Mus musculus: one gene and its partners. The protein of the gene in region 7 interacts with the protein of the main gene of each other region in a biochemical or structural test. Links are inferred from orthologs where the notes say so. Each region holds a gene or a part of one and is shown on either strand. Other genes may lie near its edges. The genes, in order: Shc1, Sla2, Plcg2, Sh2d2a, Sh2b3, Src and Erbb2.

What was found.
Region 1: the proteins of Erbb2 (region 7) and Shc1 form a complex in vitro, tested with the Homo sapiens proteins (2 studies listed by BioGRID and IntAct, with this or other methods). The link is inferred for Mus musculus from reciprocal best matches to the Homo sapiens genes ERBB2 and SHC1.
Region 2: the proteins of Erbb2 (region 7) and Sla2 form a complex in vitro, tested with the Homo sapiens proteins (2 studies listed by BioGRID and IntAct, with this or other methods). The link is inferred for Mus musculus from reciprocal best matches to the Homo sapiens genes ERBB2 and SLA2.
Region 3: the proteins of Erbb2 (region 7) and Plcg2 form a complex in vitro, tested with the Homo sapiens proteins (2 studies listed by BioGRID and IntAct, with this or other methods). The link is inferred for Mus musculus from reciprocal best matches to the Homo sapiens genes ERBB2 and PLCG2.
Region 4: the proteins of Erbb2 (region 7) and Sh2d2a form a complex in vitro, tested with the Homo sapiens proteins (2 studies listed by BioGRID and IntAct, with this or other methods). The link is inferred for Mus musculus from reciprocal best matches to the Homo sapiens genes ERBB2 and SH2D2A.
Region 5: the proteins of Erbb2 (region 7) and Sh2b3 form a complex in vitro, tested with the Homo sapiens proteins (2 studies listed by BioGRID and IntAct, with this or other methods). The link is inferred for Mus musculus from reciprocal best matches to the Homo sapiens genes ERBB2 and SH2B3.
Region 6: the proteins of Erbb2 (region 7) and Src form a complex in vitro, tested with the Homo sapiens proteins (3 studies listed by BioGRID, with this or other methods). The link is inferred for Mus musculus from reciprocal best matches to the Homo sapiens genes ERBB2 and SRC.

Annotation. Positions count from the first base shown.
Region 1 is NC_000069.6:89,420,436-89,424,420, forward strand, and holds the start of Shc1 (SHC-transforming protein 1), read left to right. Parts: upstream 1-1,185; 5' UTR 1,186-1,415; coding exon 1,416-1,910; intron 1,911-2,293; exon of another isoform or gene 2,294-2,385; intron 2,386-2,490; coding exon 2,491-2,561; intron 2,562-3,072; coding exon 3,073-3,136; intron 3,137-3,261; coding exon 3,262-3,381; intron 3,382-3,754; coding exon 3,755-3,808; intron 3,809-3,985. UniProt on the Homo sapiens protein: Signaling adapter that couples activated growth factor receptors to signaling pathways. Participates in a signaling cascade initiated by activated KIT and KITLG/SCF.
Region 2 is NC_000068.7:156,873,651-156,877,221, reverse strand, and holds the end of Sla2 (src-like-adapter 2), read left to right. Parts: intron 1-1,205; coding exon of another isoform or gene 1,206-1,250; coding exon 1,251-1,400; intron 1,401-2,212; coding exon 2,213-2,345; intron 2,346-2,684; coding exon 2,685-2,802; 3' UTR 2,803-3,071; downstream 3,072-3,571. UniProt on the Homo sapiens protein: Adapter protein, which negatively regulates T-cell receptor (TCR) signaling. Inhibits T-cell antigen-receptor induced activation of nuclear factor of activated T-cells.
Region 3 is NC_000074.6:117,588,775-117,592,274, reverse strand, and holds part of Plcg2 (1-phosphatidylinositol 4,5-bisphosphate phosphodiesterase gamma-2), read right to left. Parts: intron 3,012-3,500; coding exon 2,922-3,011; intron 2,433-2,921; coding exon 2,257-2,432; intron 2,157-2,256; coding exon 1,956-2,156; intron 1-1,955. UniProt on the Homo sapiens protein: The production of the second messenger molecules diacylglycerol (DAG) and inositol 1,4,5-trisphosphate (IP3) is mediated by activated phosphatidylinositol-specific phospholipase C enzymes. It is a crucial enzyme in transmembrane signaling.
Region 4 is NC_000069.6:87,849,755-87,852,988, reverse strand, and holds part of Sh2d2a (SH2 domain-containing protein 2A), read right to left. Parts: intron 1,267-3,234; coding exon 1,114-1,266; intron 923-1,113; coding exon 581-922; 3' UTR 1-580. UniProt on the Homo sapiens protein: Could be a T-cell-specific adapter protein involved in the control of T-cell activation. May play a role in the CD4-p56-LCK-dependent signal transduction pathway. Could also play an important role in normal and pathological angiogenesis.
Region 5 is NC_000071.6:121,834,060-121,838,163, forward strand, and holds the start of Sh2b3 (SH2B adapter protein 3), read right to left. Parts: upstream 2,801-4,104; 5' UTR 2,491-2,800; exon of another isoform or gene 2,358-2,490; intron 2,201-2,357; exon of another isoform or gene 2,161-2,200; intron 2,046-2,160; exon of another isoform or gene 765-2,045; intron 1-764. UniProt on the Homo sapiens protein: Links T-cell receptor activation signal to phospholipase C-gamma-1, GRB2 and phosphatidylinositol 3-kinase.
Region 6 is NC_000068.7:157,422,940-157,427,092, reverse strand, and holds the start of Src (neuronal proto-oncogene tyrosine-protein kinase Src), read right to left. Parts: upstream 2,801-4,153; 5' UTR 2,679-2,800; intron 2,266-2,678; exon of another isoform or gene 2,158-2,265; intron 1-2,157. UniProt on the Homo sapiens protein: Non-receptor protein tyrosine kinase which is activated following engagement of many different classes of cellular receptors including immune response receptors, integrins and other adhesion receptors, receptor protein tyrosine kinases, G protein-coupled receptors as well as cytokine receptors.
Region 7 is NC_000077.6:98,418,984-98,422,483, forward strand, and holds part of Erbb2 (receptor tyrosine-protein kinase erbB-2 precursor), read left to right. Parts: intron 1-1,105; coding exon 1,106-1,257; intron 1,258-1,881; coding exon 1,882-2,098; intron 2,099-3,071; coding exon 3,072-3,206; intron 3,207-3,500. UniProt on the Homo sapiens protein: Protein tyrosine kinase that is part of several cell surface receptor complexes, but that apparently needs a coreceptor for ligand binding. Essential component of a neuregulin-receptor complex, although neuregulins do not interact with it alone.

The DNA of each region.
Region 1 (3,985 bases), on a different chromosome or scaffold from region 7:
TAGACCAGGCTGGCCTCGAACTCAGAAATCCACCTGCCTCTGCTGGGATTAAAAGGGTGCACCACCACACCCAGCTACTTTTTTTTTTTTTTTTTTAAGGGAATAAAGCGATAGTTTATTCTGGAGCTATTTTGATTGGTCACTTTCTTTAAGTTCCTGAATGGCCTTAAGCAGAGCTGTGGCAGGAAACTGTGGGCAAAGAAATATGGGTTTGGTATTATTATGCACTTATGGCCAGACTCCAACTTCTAATATCCCTTTCTCCTTCCTGTCTTTATTAACACAGATTTGTTTATGACCCTATTATCCCTTTGTGGCTTGTAGGCACCAGTTCTGTTTCTTTCCCCTACCTCCAAGGCCAACTCCTCCACTAGCCTGAGGTACACTGTCAGGTGGTTTACTGCCTGTAAGGAGTAACAATATATCTGTAGGTCCGAGGGGTGGCTGCATGTCTCTGTACCCTCTGGGGAAGCCCTACTCCCACCCCCCAAGTCTGTTGGTCCTTGGTGACTTGTAGAAACAGGCTTGCTCTAGCTCTTGTCTGGTAGCCCCCTGATGTACCACCAATAAATTGGCCTTTATTCCCATTTTAGCTTGTCTTTCCTCTTGGCTTTGCACTATATCCACTGGGACTTACTTTCTCTCCCTGGTTCTCTACTGTGGTCCACAGCTGTTGTGGTGGAGGATGCTAATGGCCCAGGTTCCCTGGAGCTACCACCTCACTCACTGTATGGTGGGGATGGGAGTGGTCTGGGCTGTCTGGGCTAGGGGGCTAGTCACGTCTTCAGCCAGGACTGGAAAGGAAATGCTAAACTCTGGGGGACATCTCCCCCCTTCCCCTCCCCGCCCAGCAGCTTCTGTTTCCTCTCTATCCCTTCCTGTCTTCCTGCTCTCTTTGGCTTGCCCACGTCGGTTTGGATTGGTCCAGAGTTTCTCTTAACTCCTTCCTTTCTTTTTTCTCTTTTGCTTATTTTTCCATCTTTTTTTCGCGCCGGGCACCTCCTCCTTCCCAGACAGTTGTTTGTATTGGGCTGGGAGAGTGGCCTGGCTTGCACAAATTGTGTGGGGAGGTGTCTCAGCCCCTCTGAGCCTGTGAGTCAGCACTGTCCTGGGGATTGGTCTCTCTCCTTAGTTCCCCGCCTCTGGGGAGGAGCCAGTAAGCTCTGGGTCCAGCCTGTACTCCTCAGCCAGTAGAGGTTTCCTAGCTGGGCTGTGCAAGGATGTGCTCTCAAACTGTCTAGGTCTGAGTTGGGAGAGCAGAGGTCACTTGTCCTTCGCCTCCCCAGGTCATCTGTTATCACCGGGCTGCCGAGGTCAGACTAGGCTAAGGGCCTGGGGATGCCCCCTGCCTGGCCCCCTTGCCTGAATTGGCAGGGGGGCCGGGCTGGGCAGCAGCCCCTCTTCTCACCCCAGCCATGGATCTTCTACCCCCCAAGCCGAAGTACAACCCACTTCGGAATGAGTCTCTGTCATCGCTGGAGGAGGGGGCTTCGGGGTCTACCCCTCCGGAGGAGCTACCTTCCCCATCAGCTTCATCCCTGGGACCCATTCTGCCTCCTCTGCCGGGGGACGATAGTCCGACTACCCTGTGTTCCTTCTTTCCCCGGATGAGCAACCTGAAGCTGGCCAATCCTGCTGGGGGGCGCCTGGGGCCTAAAGGGGAGCCAGGAAAGGCTGCTGAAGATGGGGAAGGGAGTGCAGGGGCAGCCCTTCGGGACTCAGGCCTCTTGCCCCTCCTCCAGGACATGAACAAGCTGAGTGGAGGCGGCGGGCGCAGGACTCGGGTAGAAGGGGGCCAGCTGGGGGGCGAGGAGTGGACCAGACACGGGAGCTTTGTCAATAAGCCCACACGAGGCTGGCTGCATCCCAACGACAAAGTCATGGGACCTGGGGTTTCCTACTTGGTTCGGGTGAGTGCATACCCCCCTCCCACTCCCTCCCGTCCAGTTCCTCTGCTCACTCCAGATTTGCCAGGGACTCCCTGCTCTTCCCCCAGCAACATCTGTGCCATTCTCTCAGTTCTTAGACCTGGTGCATTCCTTCTTCAGGTCTCTGCCCTTAATTTAGCCTGTGAATCTTCTGCCTTTCCTCCTTTGGTCCCAACCCCCCCCCCCACCCCCCCAGTTCACACAGTGCCCAAGCACATCTGAGGCTTTCTGTAAAAGTTGAATGAAAATGACTTCTTGATTATTCCCTCTAGACTCCTCCCTTTTCCAGAGATGTCACTCCATCCCACTCAATGTTTGCTACTCCTCTCGCAGTCCCCCCATGGTGCACGAAGTTCCTCTTTTGTGGTCTTTCTTCCCTTTTTCCCCTTTGCCATACACCTATGAAGTGGAAGCCCCAGGCAGTAGGAAGGCTACTTCAATCTACTTTCCTTAGGAAGTAAGGACTATATAAGGCAAAGCCCTAGAACCTTCTGCAAAGGGCTTGCAAGTGTGGGGTGGGGGATGGGGTCAGCTGATCCATTCTTCCCTCCTTCCCCTACAGTACATGGGCTGTGTGGAGGTCTTACAGTCAATGCGAGCCCTTGACTTCAATACCCGGACTCAGGTCACCAGGTTAGTGGGAAGGCGGGTATATTGCTGTAGTCTTAAGATTACTGAAGTTACAGAAGTCTCAGTAAGGGGGAGGAGGAAGTTGGGCATTTGATGGTGTTTCTGATGGTGACTTCTCATGGGCGGTGAGAGAATTGAAAGTCACAGAAGTAAGTCTGACTAAAAAGAGCCAGCTCTGGTCTGGAGCACACCTTCCCTTTCTATCCAGCCTTGGAGATTGCGGGAAGATGAGCTAGAAAAGGCAGGGGTAGGAGGTTGCTGATGCTTTGGGGAAGGGAATGGAACATTCGGTGGCTGGGAAGAGGTGGGGCTATAGCCATTGAAGCCCTAACCCAATCAGCCAGGAAGCGGCCCCTCGGTGTCATCAAATATTAAAGGCCCTTAATTCAATCCACCACGACAAAGAGCCTGGAGTGCTCTGGGAGTCTGGCCTGGTCTTCCCTTCCCCCAGCTCTGTGGCGGCCCCAGCCAGGGGGGCAGCCCATGGTGGGTCTGAGTACTCCTGTTTCTCCAGGGAGGCCATCAGTTTGGTGTGTGAAGCTGTGCCTGGTGCCAAAGGGGCGACAAGGAGGAGAAAGGTATATGTGGTGGTTGGGGCTGGGTATTGGAGGCAGGGGGAAGGCACTTCAGGACATAGCGGATGGGACAGGTGTTTCCTCAGGCTGGGAAAGCTCAGATTCTGAGACTCTGGGCCCTTTCTTAGCCTTGTAGCCGCCCACTCAGCTCCATCCTGGGGAGGAGTAACCTGAAGTTTGCTGGAATGCCAATCACTCTCACTGTGTCTACCAGCAGCCTTAACCTCATGGCAGCCGACTGCAAACAGGTAGGTAGGGCTGCTGAAAGGGACCAGAGATAGTTATGGGAGCATCAAATGGGAATCAGAGACCAAAAGCTCGGAGCTCTCAGGAACAACTGGACAGTAGAGGAGGAAGAAATTAGAAAGGTTAAGGATAGTGACACCCTTATCCCAGCACTCAGGAGGCCGAGGCAGGTGAATGCCTTTGAGTTCCAGTCAGGGCTACACAGTGAGACCTTGCACCTCACCCCACCAAAAGAAGAAAGAAATCAGGAGAACACTGGGTAAAAGACCAAGAGAATGAGCCTGGGGCTCCAAGGTTCTGCACTGGGGTGGGCCACAAGCCCTGAGGCTGCCTGACATTTACCATCCCCTCCTTCTCCATCCCCACCCTCATCAGATCATTGCCAACCATCACATGCAATCTATCTCTTTCGCGTCCGGTGGGGATCCGGTGAGTTGGGGACCAGAGGAAAGACTGGGGTGGGGAAGAAGAGACATGGGGCTAGAAAGATGCTTGCTAGAGGCTGAGTGTGGTGGCACACACTGATCCCAGCACTCACGGGACAGGTGACTCTCTTGAGTTCCAGGACAGCCAGGGCCATGCAGAGAAATCCTTGAAAAACCAAAA
Region 2 (3,571 bases), on a different chromosome or scaffold from region 7:
ATAATTAAAGGCAGAGGGGGCCAGAGGATGCCTCAGTCTGAGAAGTAGCTGCTTTGCAAGCATGTGGTCCTGAGTTCAACCCCCAGCACAGATGTGAAAGGCCTGGCATGGTGATGTATGCTTGTAATCTTAGTCCTGAGGACATGGGACAGGAGGATCCCTCGGGCTGGCTAGCCTACACATATAAAAACCCTTCCCTTGCTGACCTTTTAGGATGGCTGTCTCCCAAGCATGAGCCTGCCCTCTCCTCCCGGCTCCCTTTCCACAGCATAGCTTAAGCTGAAGGGCACATGTACCTAGCCTGGGTAAAGAGATCACTTTCGTTCATTGCTTATAGACCTGAGGGTTTCTATCCAGGGATGCAACAGAATTACCTACAGGAATACTGCACACCCAGCTTGCTGACAGGGTCCTAGGCTGGGGTTGAGCATGCTCCTCGCTCACACTGCTGGCCTGGGGAACTTACGCTGAGAACTAGTTCTTAGCTGTTACGTTGGAATCGCCTTGGAGAAGCTTATAACACGGATGCCTGCACACCGGTTTAAATGACCAGGAATGTGTCTTGGGATCTGGAATCTGAAACAGTGAGGCTCCTCACTGGACAAGGGCACGTTTGTAGTGAAGTAGAGCAAGAAACCCCAGTGTGTGCTGGAGTCGGGAGTCCTGGAGAGTCAGACCTATTTCAGATACTAAGTGACAGTCTGCATTTTTGTTCTGTGGTTCAAGGGCCCAAACCCTAAACTGACACTGAGTTCTAGTATCCTGTGTGATGTTACATAGAGTGCTGGTTCTCAGATCAGTCATTGGGATGCTCTGGTCTTTGTGTGAGGTCGTGGGGATTTCCTAACACATAGTAGTGTGCACACTAGGCCAGCACTTTACCGCTGAGGTACCAACCTCTGAACTTTACTGTACTAGTGGCCCAAACAGGCTGTTTGTGAGCATGGTATCTATGAAGAAGAGCACCGTTAACACCAAACTTTCCAGAGTGACTTTCTCTCTGGCCATGGTGACATCTACTTACTTTCTCATTCCAACCCTGTGCCACCTGAGTCTTTATCCATACAGCCGATATTTAATGCTCACCCATCCTGAGGACCACAGAATCCTATTACAACTAATAGTCTTTATCCTGCCTTTGACCCCAGCATCCCCCTGAAGACTGGGCTGTGGCTATTGTTTGTTCCTTCTTCCAACCTCGGCAGGGCTGAGTCTCTACCTGGACCCACCCTGGACCCTTTCCTCCTTAGGCTGCTATTCCCTGTCCGTCCGACTCAGCCGCCCTGCATCTTGGGACCGGATCAGACACTACAGGATACAGCGTCTTGACAATGGCTGGCTGTACATCTCACCTCGCCTCACCTTCCCCTCACTCCACGCCTTGGTGGAGCATTACTCTGGTATGTATGGCTTACATTTTGCCTCCACTGCAGACTGGATGAGGGGCCTAGGAGATAGTCAGTTGTGCCCTTAGAGGCTTGACCTGCTGGAGCTATACAGAGGAGGCACTTCTGCTATCGATCCTTATGCAGCCCTTGTGCTAAGATGTGAGTGGGAGCTGCCTCCATCCCATGATGACAAAGAACTACAGGCCAACCATGAGCCTGGCCAGAATCTCACAGGCAACGGTGATTCTAAATTAATGTGCACAGAAGCTGAGTTCTTCCCACAGGAACCAGACTGTGCTCTTCCTGGGTGCAATGCAATCCTTAGCTAGCATTTCTGATGTCAAGGAGACAAAGGGGAAAACCTTATTGGCAGTGGTGGTGCACACCTTTAATCCCAGCACACAGCGGGTGGAGGCAGGCAGATCTGAGTTCCAGGCTAGTCTGGCCTACAGAGTGAGTTCCAGGACAGCCAGGGCTAGAGAGAAAACCTGTCTTGAGGAAAGAAAAAAAGTATGTGTGTGTGTGTGTGTGTGTGTAGGGGGACACCTCTTGAGAAAGTTGACTTGGGGTTTCCTACAAGGTGGTTCTATACAGTAGGTACGATGGGTCCCAGGCTGACCTCTCCCTACTTGCTTCTCAGTTTTACACAGAATTAAGTACCCCATAACTTTGTCCAGTTGACCTTTACCACCTGTCTGCCTTTATGAGACCCATCACTTGAGACTTCACTTCCTATTACTTTTTGGCAACCATGCCCTCAATATGCCAAGCACAGAAAACTCCTGGGGCAGGTACCATATCACAGGTTTGGATCTCTTCCACAGAGCTAGCAGATGGCATCTGCTGTCCCCTCAGGGAGCCGTGTGTCCTGCAGAAGCTTGGGCCACTACCTGGCAAAGATACACCTCCACCTGTGACTGTGCCAACATCATCACTAAATTGGAAAAAGCTGGACCGGTAAGAATATTTGAAACATAAAGGCAGAATAAGAAATAGACTCACAACCCACAATGGGGCTGTCACATTCAGGGACACTTCTAGAGTGCAGCCAGGCTGAAGCAGTGTAGAGGACAAGGCAGAGTTGGGAAAGGGAGGCATGGACCTCAGGGGAGCCAGGTAGGATGTAGGTTAGGCTGGGTGGGTGATCACAGTCCTGCATAGGGAGGTAAGATGGAGTAAGATCAGTAAGAAATGAGGAGCCTGAGTTTGTCAGTGACATGGTGCTATTCTGAGGCAATGAACTGTGTGGCAAGCACAGGGGAAGTGACTCCTTCACCCGCTGTCCCCCATCCACAGCAGCCTCCTGTTTCTGGAAGCACCTGCGAGTGGGGAGGCATCTCTGCTCAGTGAGGGGCTCCGAGAGTCCCTCAGTTCCTACATCAGCCTGGCTGAGGACCCCTTGGATGATGCTTAGCCCTGGAGCACAAAGAGAAAGGGAACCAAGACTGTGGCACCGAGAGCTCCAACTCCGCTGACCCTGACAAAGCTCCAGGAGGCAAGGCTGGGAGAACAGAGACGGCTGGGGTGGGGCACAGACACTCGGGGCCTCACCTGGGCTTTCTGATAAGTCATGTATCTCCTAAGGCCTCACCCCTACCTACTACTTCTAGTCCATGTGCAGTGCAGTTCAAAGCAGGGCTGGCCTCTACAGAGAATAAAATACTTCTGAGGTCTGATAAGTCACTTCCTGAGAGAAATGTCCAGTACAGCAGCTACTCAGCCCTACTAAAAGACAGAGAGAGCATCACTACCATGGAGAGAAAAAATATTGGGAACGCTCACAAGTCTTTTCCAGAATGCAAACACATCTCAGATGGTAGGATGGCTCAGAAAGCATTGACAAGAGGAACACTGGATGGCTTTACCGCAGTAGACCCCACCTAACTCCCACGCACGAGGAAGACTGACAATCCAGATCTTCCCATGATCTCCCATCAAGTCCTTTCAGCCAACTTCAGTGTTCAAACAGCCAGGTCCTCCCCATACCCCCGTTTTGCCACCTGGTGGTCAAACACAAAATGACACCGTTTAAATCTCACATCTAGCCCAGTCACCTATCTCAGTACTGAGTCAGGACATCAGGTGGTGGACCCTCTCTGAAATGCCAATACCAACTCCAGCCAAAAGAGAAAGAGTCTGGCTGCTACTGCTGCTGTGGGAGGAGAGGGAGGAGGGAAGAGAGC
Region 3 (3,500 bases), on a different chromosome or scaffold from region 7:
TATCAAGACCCCAGGAGTATGAGGAGGTCAAGGTGAAACTCAGGGGAGTCTCTTCTCTGCCCACCTGCCCAGCCCCAAAGGCTGGAGAGCTACAGCAGTGTCGCAGGGAAACATCTGGGGCAGGGAACACGGGTGAGGCTCAGAAAGATTTTGGTTACTAAAGATACAAAATGACAAGTTTGGAAAGGCAACTGGTATGAAAACAGGAAATGTTAATAATAATCATTATTATAATAACAACACTAATAATAATGTCACTGTAAATTATTCAGCTTCCTCCAAAAGCAAAAATGTTAAATCCACCTGCTTAACGATTATCTTGGTATTTCTGGAATGTGTTGACCTCTTTGCCAGGGATGGCCTGGAACTCTCTCTTTCGCGGATAAAAGAGGGAAAGGAGAAAGGAACTCGTCCTTGTGATTGCTAATCGTAAGTAAAGATCGTGAGTGCTAGTGTGAGTACTGGCTGAGTACTACGGACTAGCGTGAGTACTACGTACTGCCGTGATTGCTATCGTGAGCCCTATACTGTGATTCCTTTGACCACAGAGGGAGCCTTGACAAGCACAGACACTGCGGACCCAAACCGGTCTCTGAGATCAAAGCCCCAGACCTCAGGGCACTGAAAGAGAAGAAAGGGGGAAGAAATCATGGAGGGGAGAGAGAAGTGGAAGCTGGAAGGAAAGGAAGGAAGGACGCAAAAAAAGCTGGGCTGCACACACCTTTAATCCCAGCACTCCCCTCAGGAGGCAGAGGCAGGTGGATCTCAGAATCTAAAGCCAGCCTGGTCTACAGAGTGAGTTCCAGATAGCCAGGGCTACACAGAGAAACCCTGGGTTGAAAACAAAACATTGAGAACTGGAGAGATAGCTTAGTGGTTAGAGCACTAATGGCGCTTATGATCCAAGGGCCCACATGGTGGCTCCAAAGTGCCTGCAATTCCGGTTCCAGAGGATCTGACACCCTCTTCTGGCCTCTGTGGGCATCATATACACACCGTGCACATATATGCATGCAGGCAAAACCGCTCATACTCATAATTTTTTTTAGCTTAAAAAAAAAAAAAGAGTCACCCCCACCCCCAAATCACAGTGAATGGTGGCAAACAGGAAAGCGATGCTGTGAGGCTGTGAGGAGGACGAAGCAGAGGATTCCGGAGGCACATGGCAGACCAGTGGAGATTCAGAAACTCGGAGGAAGGAAAAGAATGAAGCTGGTCATGGGAGCTCCAGGAGCCACCATAACAAGTGTCTCGTTTTGAACAGGAGTGGCAATGGTCCAGATGGTATGATCCTTCTGTTTCTATCTACTGAGTCCTGGGATTACAGCCAGGACACCCAAGTTCATACAGGACTGGGAGGATGAGCCCAGGATTTTCGAGAAAACATCTCACCAAGATAGAAGCTGCCATGGTGATGGCAGCCATCTTAGCTGCTGACCTCACCAAGATGGAAGCAGCCATGTGACCTAATTTTCCAGGACATGTGGCCTAGTACCTACACAAGGCCAGCCACAATAGATAGATAGATAGATAGATAGATAGATAGATAGATAGATAGATAGATAGATAGATAGATAGATAAATAGATAAATATCTCTGAAATGAAAAAAAAAAAGAGTGAGTGCTCTTAACCAGTTCCCAGGATCCATGGCAGACAGCCCACATCTGTCTTTAACTCTAGCCCTAGGGGATGCAACTCCCTCTTCTGGCTTCAGTTGGCCCTGTACGCGCGTGTACATACCACACATGCTTGCTCACGCATGAGCGCACAAATAAAATTATTAAAGAACAAGCAAGAGAGAAGAGAGAGAGAGGATGGGACAAAGTCTGACAAGTGGGAATAGTTATCATAGACTTCTAAGAACCCACATTGTCAAAGAGAACGGGGTCCTGGAAATGAGAACCCCATAGTGGTCACACCTCCATGGGTCACCCACCCAATCCTAGGAACCTACGGCTTGGACTCGTGTGGGTTGGGGTTGGGCACCGGGTCTGTGAGCCGCAGCTCGAACTCCGCGCAGCGCAGGTGTGCCTCACGGTAGTGCTGGATGAGGGCGTAGATGCTGTTGAACGTGAGGTTGTCGGTCAGGTAGTACTTCATGACCCCATTCTCCATAGTAGACCGGATCCGGCAGTGCTGCACCCGGCCAGACCGCCTGTTGGGAATAGAGACAGGGATGTCCCATCAGAGCCAGGCAGGACACAGCCTGACCACACCACCTCCCACCCACCAGCCTCCGAGGAAGGGGGCGTTACCAGAAGGAGAGTGTGTAGTCATTGGGGAAGGTCTCGCTCTCCCGCACCAGGAAGGTGCCGTCCTTGGCCCCGGTCTCAGCACAGTACTCTTGCAGCAGCTTCTCCGCACTGGTCCTACTCTCCACCTTCTTGTGGAACCATTTCTCCCCAAAATGCAGCTCCGTGGGGGGAGTGTCCTGAGCCACAAGCATCCGAAAGGGCTTATTACAGCTCGCTCTGCCCTCTCCTGACAACTCATTGATGGCTGTTTCCAGGAGTCCTAAGGCAGGGGTTCAGGAGTCCCAGTACCAGAAGCCTGAACTAGGCCTGGACTCTACTCAAGAAAAAGGCCAAAGATGGGCAGCAGCTAGAGGGAACATGCAGCGCAGGGCATGGGGCGCCTCCATCACACCTCCCACCTACACCCTCCGGGGATTGCTGGCATTGGACAAAGGCCAGTCAGACCCTATTGGAAGCAGGAAAGAGCCTCAAATCTTACTGGTTAAGCCCTAGGCTAGCTAGCCAATCAGGAAGAGCTAGTTAAGCTTTGCTACCCAAAGCAATATCGCCCTAGAGCTAAGGATGCTCAAGCCAGCCCAGGTATGAGAAGCCACACAGTAAGTCTCCAGGTGGGGATTCTCCAAGGACAAGACCAGAAGGCTGAAGGCAAGCAGGTCTCCACCCACCTGGACCGGCTCCTCCTCCACAGCCTGTTCAATGTCATCACCGAAGGACAGCTTGGCGTCAGCAATGGCACAGTAGTGGCGCGTCCATTTCTAGAGAGCCAGGCTGGCATTAGTCTCCCCCAAGGTCTCAGCCCTATTGACTCTGAGGACCTATGGGACATCACCCCAGCATTCACTGGGGCAGCCCGGCGCCAGTTTTCACATTTATAATGATTTTTTTTTATAAGATCTGCTCTTAAAACAGCTACTTCTGGATTCTTGGTATTGTTCAGGACTCTTTAAGTGGGTGGTCTGGGAGCGGATAAGAGCGGATACAGATTTCCTGCTGCATTGACAGTCAGCAGCAGATCAGATCATGCAACCTCACTAGTAACTTTTCCTCATTCACTGACATTTTCCTCAGTACTGGAAACTGACCCCAGGGCCATATGCATGTTAGGTAAGAGCTTTGCCACTGAGCTACGTCCCCAGCCTGTCACCTGCTTTGTAAGCCTTTCTGGGTCCTTTCAGCCAATTGACCTAGCAGCATGTTCTTATTTCACTAATTTTTAAAAGTTACTATATAGTGTTAAATATTCT
Region 4 (3,234 bases), on a different chromosome or scaffold from region 7:
TGTGTGTGTGCGCGCGCGCGCTCATGCGCGCGCCCACACAGGGTGCGAGTGAGGTTGGTTCAATTGATGTTGGAGTGGCTTTGGAACCCTGGCAGAGCCTGGATGGACCCAGGGTTAAGAAGGCTGGTAGGGTACAGGTGAGCTGGGCTGGTGAGGGCCAAGCAGGGACCTTTGGTGGCAGCAGAGAGGAAGCCTGAAGTAGGACCTGACGCAGGTACAAGGGAAAGAGTCTGACTCCTTTAATAGTAATACCACATTCAGACATGACTGAAACTCTGTGGGGAAACTGTGAGGGTGAGCACACAGTGTGGCAGCCTCCTCCTCTGAGCCCACTGGCAGTGACGCTCTCCAGGGAGCTGGGTCAGTGTCACATGTGTGTGAGGAAGGCCTGACCAATGAGAGGCAGCCTGGGATGGAGAGTGGTTGAAGGAAACCTGAAGTAGGGGCAGGTAGGGCTTGACAAAGCTGAGTCCACGTGAATGTCCAGGAAGAGCCTTAGGCCTGGAGCTGGGCAAAGGTTTTCGGCAGCGTGGAACACTCCATCTCGCTTCAGCCTGCTGACCTTCACCTTGCCCGATATTCAGGAGGGGCTCCCTCTTTCTGCTCGACTCCTTGAGCTTATCTTTCCCTGTACCTCCCTTACCTGGCCTCTTGAGATAGGCCTGGACCAGCACTTTCGGAGGATGGGGTGTCCAATGGGCGCCGTTCCCGATGGCCCTTCCACCTCAGCATAGATATTACTAGGAGCGTCCCCAGGGCTGCCCCGCCCCATGGCATAGAAGGCTATGGGTTCATCAGGCTCCTGGTAGATGGGGTTAATGGGTGGGGCCTGATGCAGTCGTGAAGCAGGACTTGTATAGACTTCAGGAGGAAGCTGAGGCTTGGCGGGGATGGGCGGCCTGGGTCTGGATGCCTGGGATGTCTAGGGGGAGAAGGCAAGACCAGGGAAGAAAATTAATGAGAACCGTGGAGACAGGGTCTAAGCCCAGGCCCATCTCAGCCTGAGCCTCTACCTATGACAGCCTGGCTTCTTCCTCTGTCCTGTGTCCCCTTCTCCAGGCCCTGACACCCCAACACCCCCCATCCCACAGGTTGAGTTGACCAATATAGTACCGCCTTCTGTTGGGAGGCCCATACTTTCTCTGTGTGTCCTGAGGCCTGGGCCTGGCCCTGTTGGAGGAGCAGGCTGAGCTGGGTGTCTGGGTCCTGTCTTTTGCTTCCAGAGTCTGAATCAGCCCTTAGGGAAAGTCCAGCAGGCTCAGCTGTCTGCAGGAAAAAAAGGAGGCCTGAAGGGTTGGGGCGGGGTGGGGGCATCAGGTGATCCCAGAACAGCAATTAGGTCGGAGAGGATGGAAGAGACTGGGGAAGAAGTGTGCTGTGGGCTGGGCTCTCTGTGAGAGAGGTGGAGTGGAGGCATGGAGGAGGCCTGGGGACTGTGGACAGAAACAAACTCTTTTCACCCGTTTGTCTAACAACCAACTATCTGGAATTCAGGGCCAAGACAGTCTCATTTGTACTTATGGTTGCAAAACTAGGAGGCTTTAGGCTTTAGGAGTCCTTGCCTTCAAAGCAATCGGTCTGGGGACCAACCTCTATGATTGCTGGGTCTTTTTTCTTCAGGCTCAAGAAGCTTAATATATGAAGACAGAAGCTACATGTTCAGGGGCAGAGACCACCACAGGAGAGACGAACCTTCCCTTCTAGCTACCCCACAGTAGTTATGTTTTTAGCTCAGCATTAAGGCCTGCTTCACGAAGGGCTCCATGCGCCCTCCACTTCCAGAGACCTACGATCTACTCAAGGCTTCCTAGATCCAAATGAGAATTCTTTCTTCCGTGTCCACCCTGTACTTCATCTCTCCTTGAGAAAGCACTAGGCTCACCCTGCTGCCCAAACAGCAGGAAGGTCAGCTTCAATACCTCACCCTTCTCCATCCAACCAACTCAAGCTGTGCTTTGCCCACTGCCCGTGGCTCACATCTTCACGCAGCCGGCACCACCGATCAGGTGCACACATCTCCCCACTGGTTCCCACTTTCGCCATTCTGCAGCATCTTTACCCAGTCTTTCTACCCCAAGCCAGGGCTTCCTGCTCTAGAAGGATTCAGACCTTCAAGCTTGATTGTGTTGGGCCTAGTTCCTGTTCTCACCTTTGTTCCCGGCTGGATCCAGTCCTGTGGATTCCAGGGGTCTTTTCTCCTGGGGATCTGGCAACTTGCAGTCTGGAGCTGGACAAGCCCCTCCAGCTACTTCTGAGCCCCCAGCTTCCGACTTGACACCTCAGCCTACAAATGTTTCCACACCTGGCTCAGACAGGCTCCTTCTCTAGCCTTCATCTAGACGTCTTTCCATTCTTCATTTGTTCTGCAAAGACCCTGCTCTACAATCTAAACAGCCAGCAGGCCCTCTCTTACTCCTTCAACCTCCCTGTGCTAACCATCAACAGCTGGCTGAAACACTGACATAGCAGCTGTCTTCATCTCTAGTGGCCTTGTTTGGCCCTGGCCGCCCATCACCTTCTGAAACATTGTAGCCATCTTCATCTCCTGCCGCCTGGTCAGGCCCTCACCACCCTGTCAGGTGAGATTGTTGCTTCTAACTCCCCAGTGTAATCAAATCTTATTCAGAATAAAACCTTAGAGCCTTGTGAGAGCCACAGGGGCCCCTTAAGTCACGTCACCCTTCTGACCTCTCTTCTGACCTCTCCATCCATCAATCATCCAGTGAGGCTGCTTCCTCACTGCTCAGTCTTCAGACACATCAAACATCCTCCCATCTCAGAGTCTTTGCCCCTGCTGTAACTTTCAACCCAAAAGCTTTCCCTCCAGCCGTCTGCACTGCTCCCTCTTACAACCATCCAGACCTCTATTCAGATGTCCCCCACCTTCTCTACTGTCCCTGTGTGACATACTGCCTATCCTGCTGCTCTCCATCTCTGCTTGGCTTTCTTCCTAGCATGCATCCTTTCTGTTATCAGTGTGTTCTCTGTATCACTTATGGCACCTGCCTTGTCCTAGAATAGATGCCGCACGAAGGCCAGGAGATATAGGTATATTTGTCACTGTTTATTTCTTCGGTGTTTAACCTCTGGCTCAACACACAATGGTTCTGAAGTGTCTGCACTTTTTGAAAGTGGAGGTTCCCTGAGAGCTTCTCTTAAGCTAAGTAGCATATACCACCGCCACCACACATGATCATCCCACCACTAGATTGTCTGCCATTGCTACTTGTAGTA
Region 5 (4,104 bases), on a different chromosome or scaffold from region 7:
GACAGGGTTGTGTGGGAGGAAAAATCTTTCAGCCATCTGCTCAGCTGCTGGGGTTTCCGGCTGGCCAGGGCGGGGCAGGCCATCAGGTCCCTTAGGGACTTGTCTCTTGTCCCAATGAGAATGGTACTGGGCTGGAGAGCTCAATGCAGGAGGTGGGGGCGGGGGCGTCACTGAGATCCCTAGATCACTGACCAAGAGACACAGGTTGTCCAGATCATGGGGCGCAAGCAGGTGGTGTCTAACAGTGCCCAAGGGCATGCAACCAGGCCTGAGGTGTACCCGGTCCCTGAAGGACCTCAAGCCCCCGGAAGCTGGAAGCTGGGGTGCAAGGCTCCTGGGTCCAACTAGGTATGACTCAGCTAGTGACCCCCACTGAGTCATTTCCCCTAAGCGGTGTGCCAGCCTCAGTTTCCTCGGGGAGGGTGGGTGGCCGGGAACAGGCCTGGCAGGAAGGAGCAGCCCCTCCAGAAACTCCAGATGGAAGCTGCTTCCTGCTCTGCCCAACCAGAGATGCTCAACACCCAAGGGGCCCTGGGGACCGTTTTCCCAGGAAACCTGGCAATTAAGGGCCAGCCACTCCTGGATTAATAGCAATGGATTAATAGCAATAGCTTAAATTTATTGAGCACTAACATGCCAATACTGCATGCCTCTCCCCGACTCTGTCCTTCAGCACCTCCACTTCAGACTTCCAAGAACACCTGTAACTCTGAGACAGCACAACCCAAGCCTAAGATCTCAGAGTCAGGCCAGTTACTGCCTACCTGCTTCAAATGTCTTCTCCTTGTTGGGCTCCTACATAGTGCACAACCACCTAGAGAGGCACAAGACTTGGCTGACACTGGGCAGGTCCCAAGAGATGTCAGGTAACTTGCCCAGGGCCTCACCCCTGAAGCTAGCAGAGTCTGGATTAGTCTCCACACAAGTGCTGCTCCAGGGAGAAATGAGGACTTGAAAGGAAAGACCTCTCGTTTTAGTTTTAACAGTACTATCTGTCCCATCTCCTCGTGCCAGCAGTTAAAACCCTTCCCGCTCTTGATGACTTTTTCATTGCCTCACAGAAGTGCCCACCCAAAGAGTCACAGCAATGGGACATTCAGCAGCTGACTAGCCTCACAATGTGGGCTGGACCCCCAGAGACCTGCTCTGGAAAGGGTGTGATACAGGCCCAGGCAGCCGGAAGGGGCTCCCAAGCACCTTCAGCTCTATCGCAGAAGTGGGAGAAACCAGATGGTGGCCCAACTAGCCTAGACAGCCTGAGGCACACAAGCTGATGGCACAGCCCAGCTACTCAAAGGAAAGGACCGTCACTTCTCTAAGAACATTTTGAACGATGAGGACCAGGCACTGGGTGACATTTGGTGCCAGAGAGTCAGGAAGGAAGAGGAGCAGCAAATGACCTCAACAAAACAGATAACACCCTTGTCATGACTGCCTGCCCTCCTGATCAAGCCATCCTGTGCTCTGGTGGCCCTCACAAGTTAGGTGTCAACTGAGGGAACCCAGGCCAGGAAGGGGTTTGTCATCTGACCCTGCCCAGGGTCCTTCAGAGTTCCCTGCCCACAGACTCGGGAAACCCCAGAGCAGCTATGCTCAGGAGAGAGCCGAGGACGGTCCCAGGGCCAGGGTCAATAAAACTGGACAGTCTGAAAACCAACGGCCTGTAACTGAGGTCTTCTCCCAACGGCCTGTAACTGAGCCCTTCTCCCAGCCGGACGCAGGTGCCTTCCACACAGCATTCATTAAAACTCCACCTCATTGTAACTGCACCACAAATCTCTTCTCACTCACTGAACAGCGGGGAAACTGAGGTCGCGACCCTCATCTTGGAGAGCAGAGGAGAAAGAACACAAGTTCTGCCTCTAGGACCCTCGGTTTCCTCTCTTGTCACTGCCCAGCCCTTGAGATCCCCAAACCACAGCTGCTGCCGCTGCTGCGGGCCAGCCCCTTCCCAGCTGACCACCCATTGGGACTGCACAAGTTCCAGAATGTATTCACCCCTCCTGGCTCAGATGGCGTTTCCTCCCAGAGGAGGCCTGGGGAACAAGGTTCAGAAAGTGTCCTAAGAGCATAAAACTCTTATAACCTCAACTTCCCCCAGCGGGCCCTGGCCTGTCATGGCCTGTCCCACCCCCTTCCCCCATCTCTGGCTGATTTCACCTTTAGGACTCCGCATATCATCCTTGGTTGATCACCGGGGCACTAGTGACACACGTGTCCCCCCCTCCCACCCTCACCGCCAGCACACCCCCCCCCCCGGCAGGGGCCCAAGCACGCTGTGTGCCGGGACAGCTCTCGGTTCCTCCCGCGGCGCCCCGCCAGGCTCCTCTCCGGAGGCCCCAGCTGAAAGCACTGACCTCCGCGCCCACATCACTGCGGTCTGGGATTGGGGAAGAGAAACAGAATGAGGAAACGCCAGAAAACAGAAGCGGGACCCGGGGACGGCCGCCCGGCCCAGTTCCTCCAACACGCTCGGCGGGCCGCGCTTACCGCGCAAGCTGCGGGTCGGGGCCCGGCCGGCCCATGGCGTCGCACGGCCTCTCGGCGCTCAGGCAGGAAACCCCGGCTCGGAAAACGGCCAGCGCCTCATTTCCGCCGCCAGCTCCTGACAGCAGCCGGGGGACGCGGCCTCGGGCCGTCCCCAGGACGCTGCTGCTGCTGCCGCCGCCGATGTGGACCCCGTGTGGCCCGTGACAGTCTGGGCTGGAGAGCGGCCAGGCGGAGGCGACGGCCCGAGCCCATGCCGCCCCACGCCGTTATGTAAAGAGGAACCAGCCGCGAGCCGCGCGCGGCGGCGGAGGGCGGCCTGGGGGCGTGGCCACAGAGAGCCACGCCCCGGGGCCGCCTGCGGAGGCCGGGGGCGGAGCCTATCCCGGCCCCGCCCTCCTCTCGCGCCTCCGCCCGCTGCCCGGTGGGAGGTAGCATAGCGACAAGCTCCGCCCCCATAAGGCGCGCTCTCTGCACCCAAGTTGCGTCGCGCCCCCTAAAGAAGGGAAAAAAAATAATAATAAAATAAAGAATCTCGAAGGGGAGGAGCGTGCTCGGTCCCGCCCCTCTCGCGCTGGCCAGTCACCGCGTGCCTCGGCAAGGCGGGGCCCCTAGAAGGGGTGGGGCGGGGCTAGGCGCGCGATGGGCGTGGCTGCCCCGACCTTCGGGACCTCCTAGGGGCGCGCCCCTGCGGACTCCCTCCAAGCCCAACCTTATCTGAGCTTGCCCGGCCGGGTCTAGCAACTGCGACCGCGGTTTTCATCACCTCCAGGGGAAGGGGCCAGCCCCACCCTGGCCCCACTATCCATGACTCCGCCGAGCCGTCCTGCCTCCGCGGCGCCATCCATTTGAAGTCCGCTCCCCTCCTAAGGTCCTCGGAGTCCCGGAACGGGCCGAGTAGGCTGTTCTCTACCTGGCCGCCCGGCCGCATTCTCTAGCTTGATGAAACTTTCTCCAAGAGCTCCTTCGCATCCCAGGCAGCCGAGCCCTTTGAACGTCCACGCCTGCGCGCCCCTTAGCCCTTTACCTTTTCTCTATCGCCACATTGGCTAACAGTGGGGTGCCCCTGTTCTGAAGTGGAGTCACTCACTGCACGCCAGTCTTCCCCGCGACTCTACGGAGGGAGGGGAAAGAGGAATGCCTGTCCCCTCCCCCTCCCCCAACAGGAAGCAGGCCGCCCACGCCCCCAGCTTGGAGGGGCCACTGCAAGCCTTCCCAGACGACAGGCTCCCACGAGCCGCTGGCTCCCTGGAGCCTTCCCCTTGCTGCGTGGGACCAAATATTTGACCCCCTCCAACTCAGTTTTTTCATCTATGAAATGGAAATAACACGTGTCTCCAGCCCACTCAGGGACTGGAAGAAGTGAGTTGCTCACATTAGAGCAGCCTAACCAACCGGGCTGAATTCAGTCCCCGGGCCTGCTGTTGGAGCCCGAAGAAGGGACTCCCCCGTAGGTGGGGATTTCCACTACAATCGGACGGCAGCAAGCTGGAGCCTGGTAGCAAAATGGCTTGGAAGAAGCCCCCACCCACCCACCCCCAAAAAACGAGCCAAGGCAATGTCTTAGGCACTATAAGGTGTTTGTGGACATCAGTTAGTGATTCCCTCGTGGGGGCG
Region 6 (4,153 bases), on a different chromosome or scaffold from region 7:
TGCTCTCCAGCTCCCTCCCAAGTTTCTCCCTCACCCTCACCCCGACCCTGCACTGCACTTCCTGATCCTTGGGCTCTCAGTGCCTCTGGCTTTCTGGGTTGAACTCCTACTAAACCTAGCTTCTTCCTCTTCTTCTTCCTTCTCCTCTTCCTCCTCCTCCTTCTGAGACCTGATCAGGGCTCCCACAGAATATGCAAGTCCAGACTGCACATCTATTCCATTAGCTGTGTACCTTGCCCTCCAGCTTAATCTGGTTCATAGAGAGGATACCCACCTGCTCCCTATGTAAAAACTGGAGGCCAAGATCCTCCTCCAGGCTCCAGTGGGCCCTCATAGGGAGCAGTCCTATTGATAGCGGCCCCATTGGATCATCCTATCTCATAGCTCTCCCTTTGGTTCCCCACAACAATTATACACCTCCCCTCACCTCAGGGCCTTTGCACATACACACCTCTCTCTGCCTGGCACACCTTCCCCTAGCTTCATGCCCAGACGCCCCCTAAATTCCTCCTTCAAGAGTCCTCTGCCTTTATCACAGCCACGAGTATATATTCATTTATCTGGCCACTTGCTTGATGCATGGCCTATCCCCCACACTCCAGTTTCTAGGAGTCAAAGACCTGCTCACAGTTTCCCAGCAAGTCCCCAGGCAGATGACCTTCTGAATAGAAAGGAAGAGCACTGACCCAGCTGCATTCTTGGCTGGCCCGCCACTGCTTCACTCAGCTTAAGCCCCTCCTCCAGGAAGCTGTCTGCTCCTCCTACCACAAAGCTGCTCAACAAAGTTCCCAGGCCCTGGTGCATAGTATATGCTCAATGCGCGATCAAAGTCAGCAGATGGACAGCAAGAACAAAGATCATTTAACCATGTCCTTCCGAGATTCCTGGGGGGCTAGGGGAGCGAGACACACCCTATCCTCACCCCCACCCTCAGATGACAATCAGGGAAGAAGCCCCAAACAGGAGCCAGCCTATGTGCTGGAGGCTGGTGGGGGAGAGGGGGTTCGGGAAAAGGACACAGGAGATAGAGGAAGGTGGGGTGGGAGAGATTAGGGTTGCCCTAAGGCTGGGATGAACAAGGATGAACAAGAGACTAGGGGGAGGGGACGGAGCAGGGAGCATGGCACTCCTAGCACTCATTAGTGTGTGCCCCATGATGTAGACAGGAGGTCAGCTGAGAGGTGACACACTGTAAATCACTTCCCTTGTGGAAAGGTTACCTCACCCAGACACACCTCATCTCCAGTAGGGCCTTATGTCTCTGCCAGGTGCGAGAGATATGGAGGGAAACTTCCAACAATGCCTTGTGCCTGATCTAAAACTACACACCCTTCACCGTCACGGTGGGTTAAAGGGCAGCCAGACAGCTCCTCAGGAAGGCTATATCCTCCTCTGCAGCTGCAGACCAGGCTAACCCCGGGAGGCGTTCACTGGATATCAGCAGCTCTGGTTATAACTGCTCCATTTTCTTTCCTGTGGTTCTGCAGCTAGCACCAGGGCCTTGAACAAGCTGAGCCTGTGCTCTACCACCGAGCTACCTCACAAGCCAACTGATCGATCCTCCCTGAGAGGACTGAGGCCAAAGGGAACCCTTTGTAGCACGGAGTTACCCGCTTCTGCAGGCAGCTGTGCCACAGGTACCTCAACCATCCTGTGCGAGCGAGCTCCAGGATGGGACTCATTTATTGAGCACGCCCCCCCATATATGCCAAGTCCTGGGCTGCGGAAGTGCAGGGAATAGTCACTGATGTGAATAGTCCAAGGGGCGGTCCCTGGCTCAGGTCACTCAGGAAAACAAGAAACCTAGACACCTGGACTCCATAAGGTTGGAAGAGTCCCCTGCCCCCGCCCCTGCCCCCGCCCCCGTGTCCACCTTGGTAACTAAATCTGACCTATACCCAGATGACCCCAACACCACTTGCCTTCACTGGGCAGTCTGTAAAGCCGGGAAGACCTCAGGGTCCCAGAAGCCTCACACACCTCTGTCCACCTTTCTAATCGGAATGCCTCAAAGGTTTATGGGATGGATACCCAGAGTGAGTCCCCTCTGTTCACCCCACCCTTCAACCAGCCCACCTACCACTGAGGAGGGCCTTGGCTCAGAGAGCTAACTAAGGCACAAGTGGTGGTGGGTCGTAGTAGGGGGCACAAACTCACCTCCAGTACCTGCCTGGGTGGGCAAGCGGACCTGGTGGCGGTAGTGAAACCCCAAAACTTTTGCCAACTTCTGAGTCCATCGGTCGCTGGGCCTGCGCAGGGGCGAGGCTGGGGGTTGGGGGGGATGGGGGGCGAGGACAGGGTGGCCCTGTTTCTTCCAGACCAGCAGCACTAGGCCCTACCCAAGGCCCCAGTGAGACCTAAGGAGGTAGTGTGGCCCTCCAGGTGCCCCTTCCCCAACGCCCACCCCACCCCCACCGCCCACTCCGGGCCGGGGGCGCCAGGCCCAGCAGCCGCGATCGCGGGCGGCGCCGATCGGCCGGGTTTTCAAATGTGGCCTAACCGAGCCAGGGGACTCTGCGGCCGAGGGTCCCCGCGTTCCGGTGCCCCCCGCACCCCGCTCGTCCTCCCCCGCGCATCCCAACAAAAGGCCGCGGCGGGCAGCTCGCGGGCCGCGGCGTAGAGTGGGCAGGGCGGGAGCCCGCAGCAGGGCGCGGGGCCGGCGGGGCGGGGGCGCTCACCTGCACGGCGACCGTGAGCTCCGGACGCGCCCGGGCGGACCCCAGCGGGGCGCGCGGCGCTGGCGGGCAGCGGCCTGGCCGCTCCGGCGGGGCGGCCGGTTGGATTCCGGGCCCGGAGAGACAGACCGAGAGAAAGGGAGGAGGCGGCGGCGGTGGCGGCGGCGGCGGCGAGGGGGAGGGAGCGCGCGGGAGGAGGGGCCGCGGCCGCCGCGAGCCGGAGAAAGGAGGAAGCGCGGACCCGGGCCCCGCCGGCGACCCGGGAGACCTGCTGTGCGAGCCGGGCCCGCGCCTCCCGCACCCAGCCCCCCACCCCCCGCAGCTCCGCCCGCGGGGGCGCCCCCCCAACCCCACGCCACGCGCCGGGCTCGGCCTCCCGGGACCACGTTAGCGTTCAACCCTAGCTACCTGAGCTACGCACCGGTGGCTAGCACTGTCCGGAAACTGAGGCACTGGCCACACCAGCCTTGACCCTGAGTGTCTCTAATCCTCAGAGACTGGAACCGAAGGGACAGGGAAATAGTGAGGGGGAGAGGCAGTATTGTTAAAATGTATCAAAAGGCAAAACAGTGGCTCACTATGTGGCCAAGGCTGGCCTTGAACTTGCGGAGCCTCCAGCCTCTGCCAATGGAGGGCAGGAACTTGCGGGGCCCAGCTCAATTAGGCCAAGCCTAAATTCACTTTCAATGCATAAGGAGACCGTGTGCATCTGCTGGGCAGTGTGCTTGTTGCCAGCCACTGAGGATGACAGAACCAACCGGACAGGAAGTAGAGAAGAAAAATGGGGCAAGCGGGATGAGATGTGGCTTCAGGCTGGTCTCAAAGACCACCAGGTTCTAGCGCTGCCCGTTGGGGGTCCAGGAGCATCCTTGACTCCTCCCGTTCACTCTGGAAAGATGGGCCTGACCATCTATCAACCATCTCCATGTTCCTTCCTTGAAAGTGCTTCCATCTCACAGACAGGGAAACTGAGGTTCATGTGGCACAGGCCTGGGCTTCTGGCAAAGATCCCTCCCAAAGGGCAAGTCCCCCATCATCCTAGATTGTGAGAGGCTCCAGCCCCAGGGTACAGCTATGTCTCCCAGGAGACCAGGAAAGGGCAAAGCTTTGAGTCAGACTGATCTGAGGTCACATCTAGGCCAGGTGCCTCAGGGTGTGTTCTGTCCACTAGCTTCCTGTTCCAGCCCCCTCTGTTGTGAAGAAGGAGTGGGCCAGGCTGAAGATCTGAGGGCCTCACTGACAAGAGCAAGTGGGGCCAGGGTAGCCCACTGTGGCCACGGGGACTGCTCAGGGTTTCTCATGAACAGCGGGCAAACTAGCCAGCCACTCCTGTTCGCAGGGCTTGCTTAAAGATTAACGGCAGTTTCCCAGGGCTCCCCTGGGCAGGCTCTGGCTGGAGGAGCAGGTTTCTCCGCCCTCCTCCATGCCTAAGATTTGTCTAATGGCCTTTACTGGCCACTCTGGGCTGAGGGAGGGGA
Region 7 (3,500 bases):
GCGGTAACCAATAGGAAGTCTCTCTCTCAGCAGCTCGGGCACCTGTGTAGACAACCTCCACCCGCCTTCTCCCCCAACCCCCCAACCTCCTGGGCAAGACGCACAAGGTGATTCATCTTCTCACCGGAGCAGAAAAACAAGTTCAACTGGGCACTTTAATCTCTCCCCTGCTGGCAGGCTTGGTGCCAGCTGCTACCTAGAGCCCCCTAGCTGAGGGGCAGCTTCTCCTATGTGAGGACTTAGTGGGAGGAATGGTACCCCAGCCTGAGGGTCAGGCAGGCTCGGAACGGCAGTGCACCTTGGGGACCCCCTTTGGCTGATAGTTGGCACCGGGCAGGTACACAGAGTAGTGTGCCCTTGTGGCAGGAGTCTTGTGGCATACCTTCTGCCAGCTGCTTCTGGAGTTTTGCCCCAGGAGGAGGGTGAGAGAGCCAGTGTAGGAACCTGCAGAGTGTCTCGCCCTGTTTAGGATCTGCAGCCAGGCCTCCTAGCTGATATCCTAGGCTTTTCTTCTCCGTGTGGATGCTTTTCCAAAGAGCTCTCCCATGATGACCAGGCCCCTGCCTGCCCTCCTATCCCAGCAATGACTCCAGTCAATCCTGTTTGCCCCTGTTTTGGGGGGCACTCTGGGGACAGTTGTCTTGATCAGGGAAGTTGACATGTGGGTGTGTTGCGATGGCAGGAGGAGAATGCCCTGAGCCTGTGTGCGTGGGAGACAGATGGGGGTATCCAGAGGGGCCTGATTCATCATCGCCTCTCTTTGGGGATTTTTCACCCTCAGTTCTGGGACAAAGGGAGGCTTTCTTTGCAGCATGCTAAAACCCAGTATGGGTGGTAAGCCCTAAAGGGCTGACACATTAGGGTCCCTCTGGCTGCCCAAGGTGACCCTGCTACAGGGGGCCTCTCTCCAGCTTGCCAACTCTTTCCCAAACAGAAGAGCATTCTACTCTAGGCCCTGTGGATGCAGAGGTGTGGGAGGAAAGGCTGTCAGCCATGCTTTCTCCCTGTCTGAGGTGACAGGACTCCAGGGAGTGAGTGTGGAGGAGGTGACTAGATTGGAGAGGGTCGTGGCCAGTGTCCTGACCCACTTCCTCCCTTCCATCAGTGTGTACCGGTACCGACATGAAGTTGCGACTCCCTGCCAGTCCTGAGACCCACCTGGACATGCTTCGCCACCTCTACCAGGGCTGTCAGGTGGTGCAGGGCAATTTGGAGCTTACCTACCTGCCCGCCAATGCCAGCCTCTCATTCCTGCAGGTGAGACCTGGTCCTGCCGAGCCTCCTGAGTCGAGGTGTGTGAGGAAGGGGCAACTACATTCCTGTATTCGCTCTCTTGTGGTTCCTCAATCAGGAGTGCCTTTCTGATAGCTACTTAAAAACCAGTTGACTCCCTCTGCAGTGACTGGCCGTGGTCCAGCTGTCCCCAACACTATTCCTTTAGGGCTCTTAAGTTCCAGGTCCAGCCTTTTGGATGTGATCTAGACCCTTAGCTTCTCCAGGCCTCAGTTTCTCTCTATATTGGACTAGCAGACATCCTGGCCTACCGTTGTGGATCATATCCACAGGCCCTGGAGTGAAGCTGCAAGGAATGGATGTGGGTCTGTTAAATCACAGATACCATCTTGTACAAGCCCTCGATACTGAGATGTGCAGAGAGGTGGGGCACCGCTTATCAGTCCTGATCTAACAGACAAGAATCTGTTGAGGCCAGTGAGGAGTAGCCTAGGGCTCCATCTTGGATCTAAGGGGTCAAGACTGCTCAGTGTCCAGTGGGACCATGCAGGACACAGCCCCAACCCTGTTACCCTCAGGCTTTGTGAGGCACAGGCGCTTCGCCAGCCCAGCCGCGCCTCACTGCCCGTCCCCTGCCCTTCCCACCAGGACATCCAGGAAGTCCAGGGATACATGCTCATCGCTCACAACCGAGTGAAACACGTCCCACTGCAGAGGTTGCGCATCGTGAGAGGGACTCAGCTCTTTGAGGACAAGTATGCCCTGGCTGTGCTAGACAACCGAGACCCTTTGGACAACGTCACCACCGCCGCCCCAGGCAGAACCCCAGAAGGGCTGCGGGAGCTGCAGCTTCGAAGTCTCACAGGTGCCTTTCCTGTCATTGCAAGGGTTTCCTGGTTCTTGGTTGCCGACTAAGCTGTTCTGGCTGTGGAGAGGCTCCGTGAGGATTAAAAGTATGGTTCTCTCAAGCTCCATGCAGGCAGGCTGAGCCTCCCTCTCTTTTCACCCCAGTGACAATAAGGAAAAGAAGGTTACGCAGTGGCTCGGTGTCAGAGTGCTTGGTTAGCATGGACAAGGCCCTGGGGCTTGATCCCTTCCTCTTCAGGAAGATGCAGCTTTCATTAGTAGAGGTCAGGATATTTTGTTCTCTCCATTTTGGCCATGTCAGAGTATGTGGTGAATAACCTGTGGAATTGTATGTGACAGCCCCGAGCTGACAGTGTCCCAACTAGGGTACCCGGTGCTTTGCGTACTGGACCCCACTCCGGTCACGCTACAGACGTGGAAGCCCTGCTGCTAAGCCTTCCAGTGTTTCTTTTTTGTTACGTTTATTTTGGTTTTTCTGGTTTTGTGGTTTTTGAGACAGTGATCTCACTACCTAGCCCAGGTAGACCTTGATTCCAAAGCAGTCCTCCTGCCTCAGCTCTCTAGTTCTGGAATCCCCGGCATGCCACCACCAGCTTTCTCCAGTGTTAGCCTCACTCCACAGAGGAGCAATCCGAGGCAGGCAGGGTCACGCAGCCAGTCGGTGGTGAAGTGGGATTTCAGACTTCAGAGACATTTTTGTTGTTTTTGTGCTGGGGATTGATCTTAGATCTGGGGCAGGATGGGTGCTTGTTCTGCCACTGAGCCTCTCTGTTTGCCTCCGCACAGTGAGCACAGGGTGAGGCGAAAGGCCAGTGGGGAGCTCCCAGCCACGTGAACACCGCCCACCGCCCCCACTGCCCCATCCCCTCTTCCTAGTCCCTTGTTAATCTCCTGTGTGGCTGGCACTCACAGGGAAGTCAGGAGCCCCCAAGAGTGGTCAGGAAGGGGCTGACTATCTGTCTTCCCCACAGAGATCTTGAAGGGAGGAGTTTTGATCCGTGGGAACCCTCAGCTCTGCTACCAGGACATGGTTTTGTGGAAGGATGTCCTCCGTAAGAATAACCAGCTGGCTCCTGTCGACATGGACACCAATCGTTCCCGGGCCTGTAAGCCATGTCCATGGGACAGCCCACCTGACCCAGACAGCCACCCATCCCACCTTCCCTGTCCTTGTTCATCTCCCTGCCCGTAGGCAGGGCCTCCACCTCCTGAGGCCTCTTTACTTTTTGGGTCCCCCCCTTCCTGTGCAACTGTCCTTGGGCTCTGCGACATATTCCTCCCACCCGCCATTCGCTCCTCCCTGCGTCCCTCTCAGCCTCCCTTTTTCTTCCTGCTTCCTTCCTTTGCTTCCTTTCTCCTCTGGACTTCCCTCCCTCACTGCCTCTACCCGCTTTTCCTGC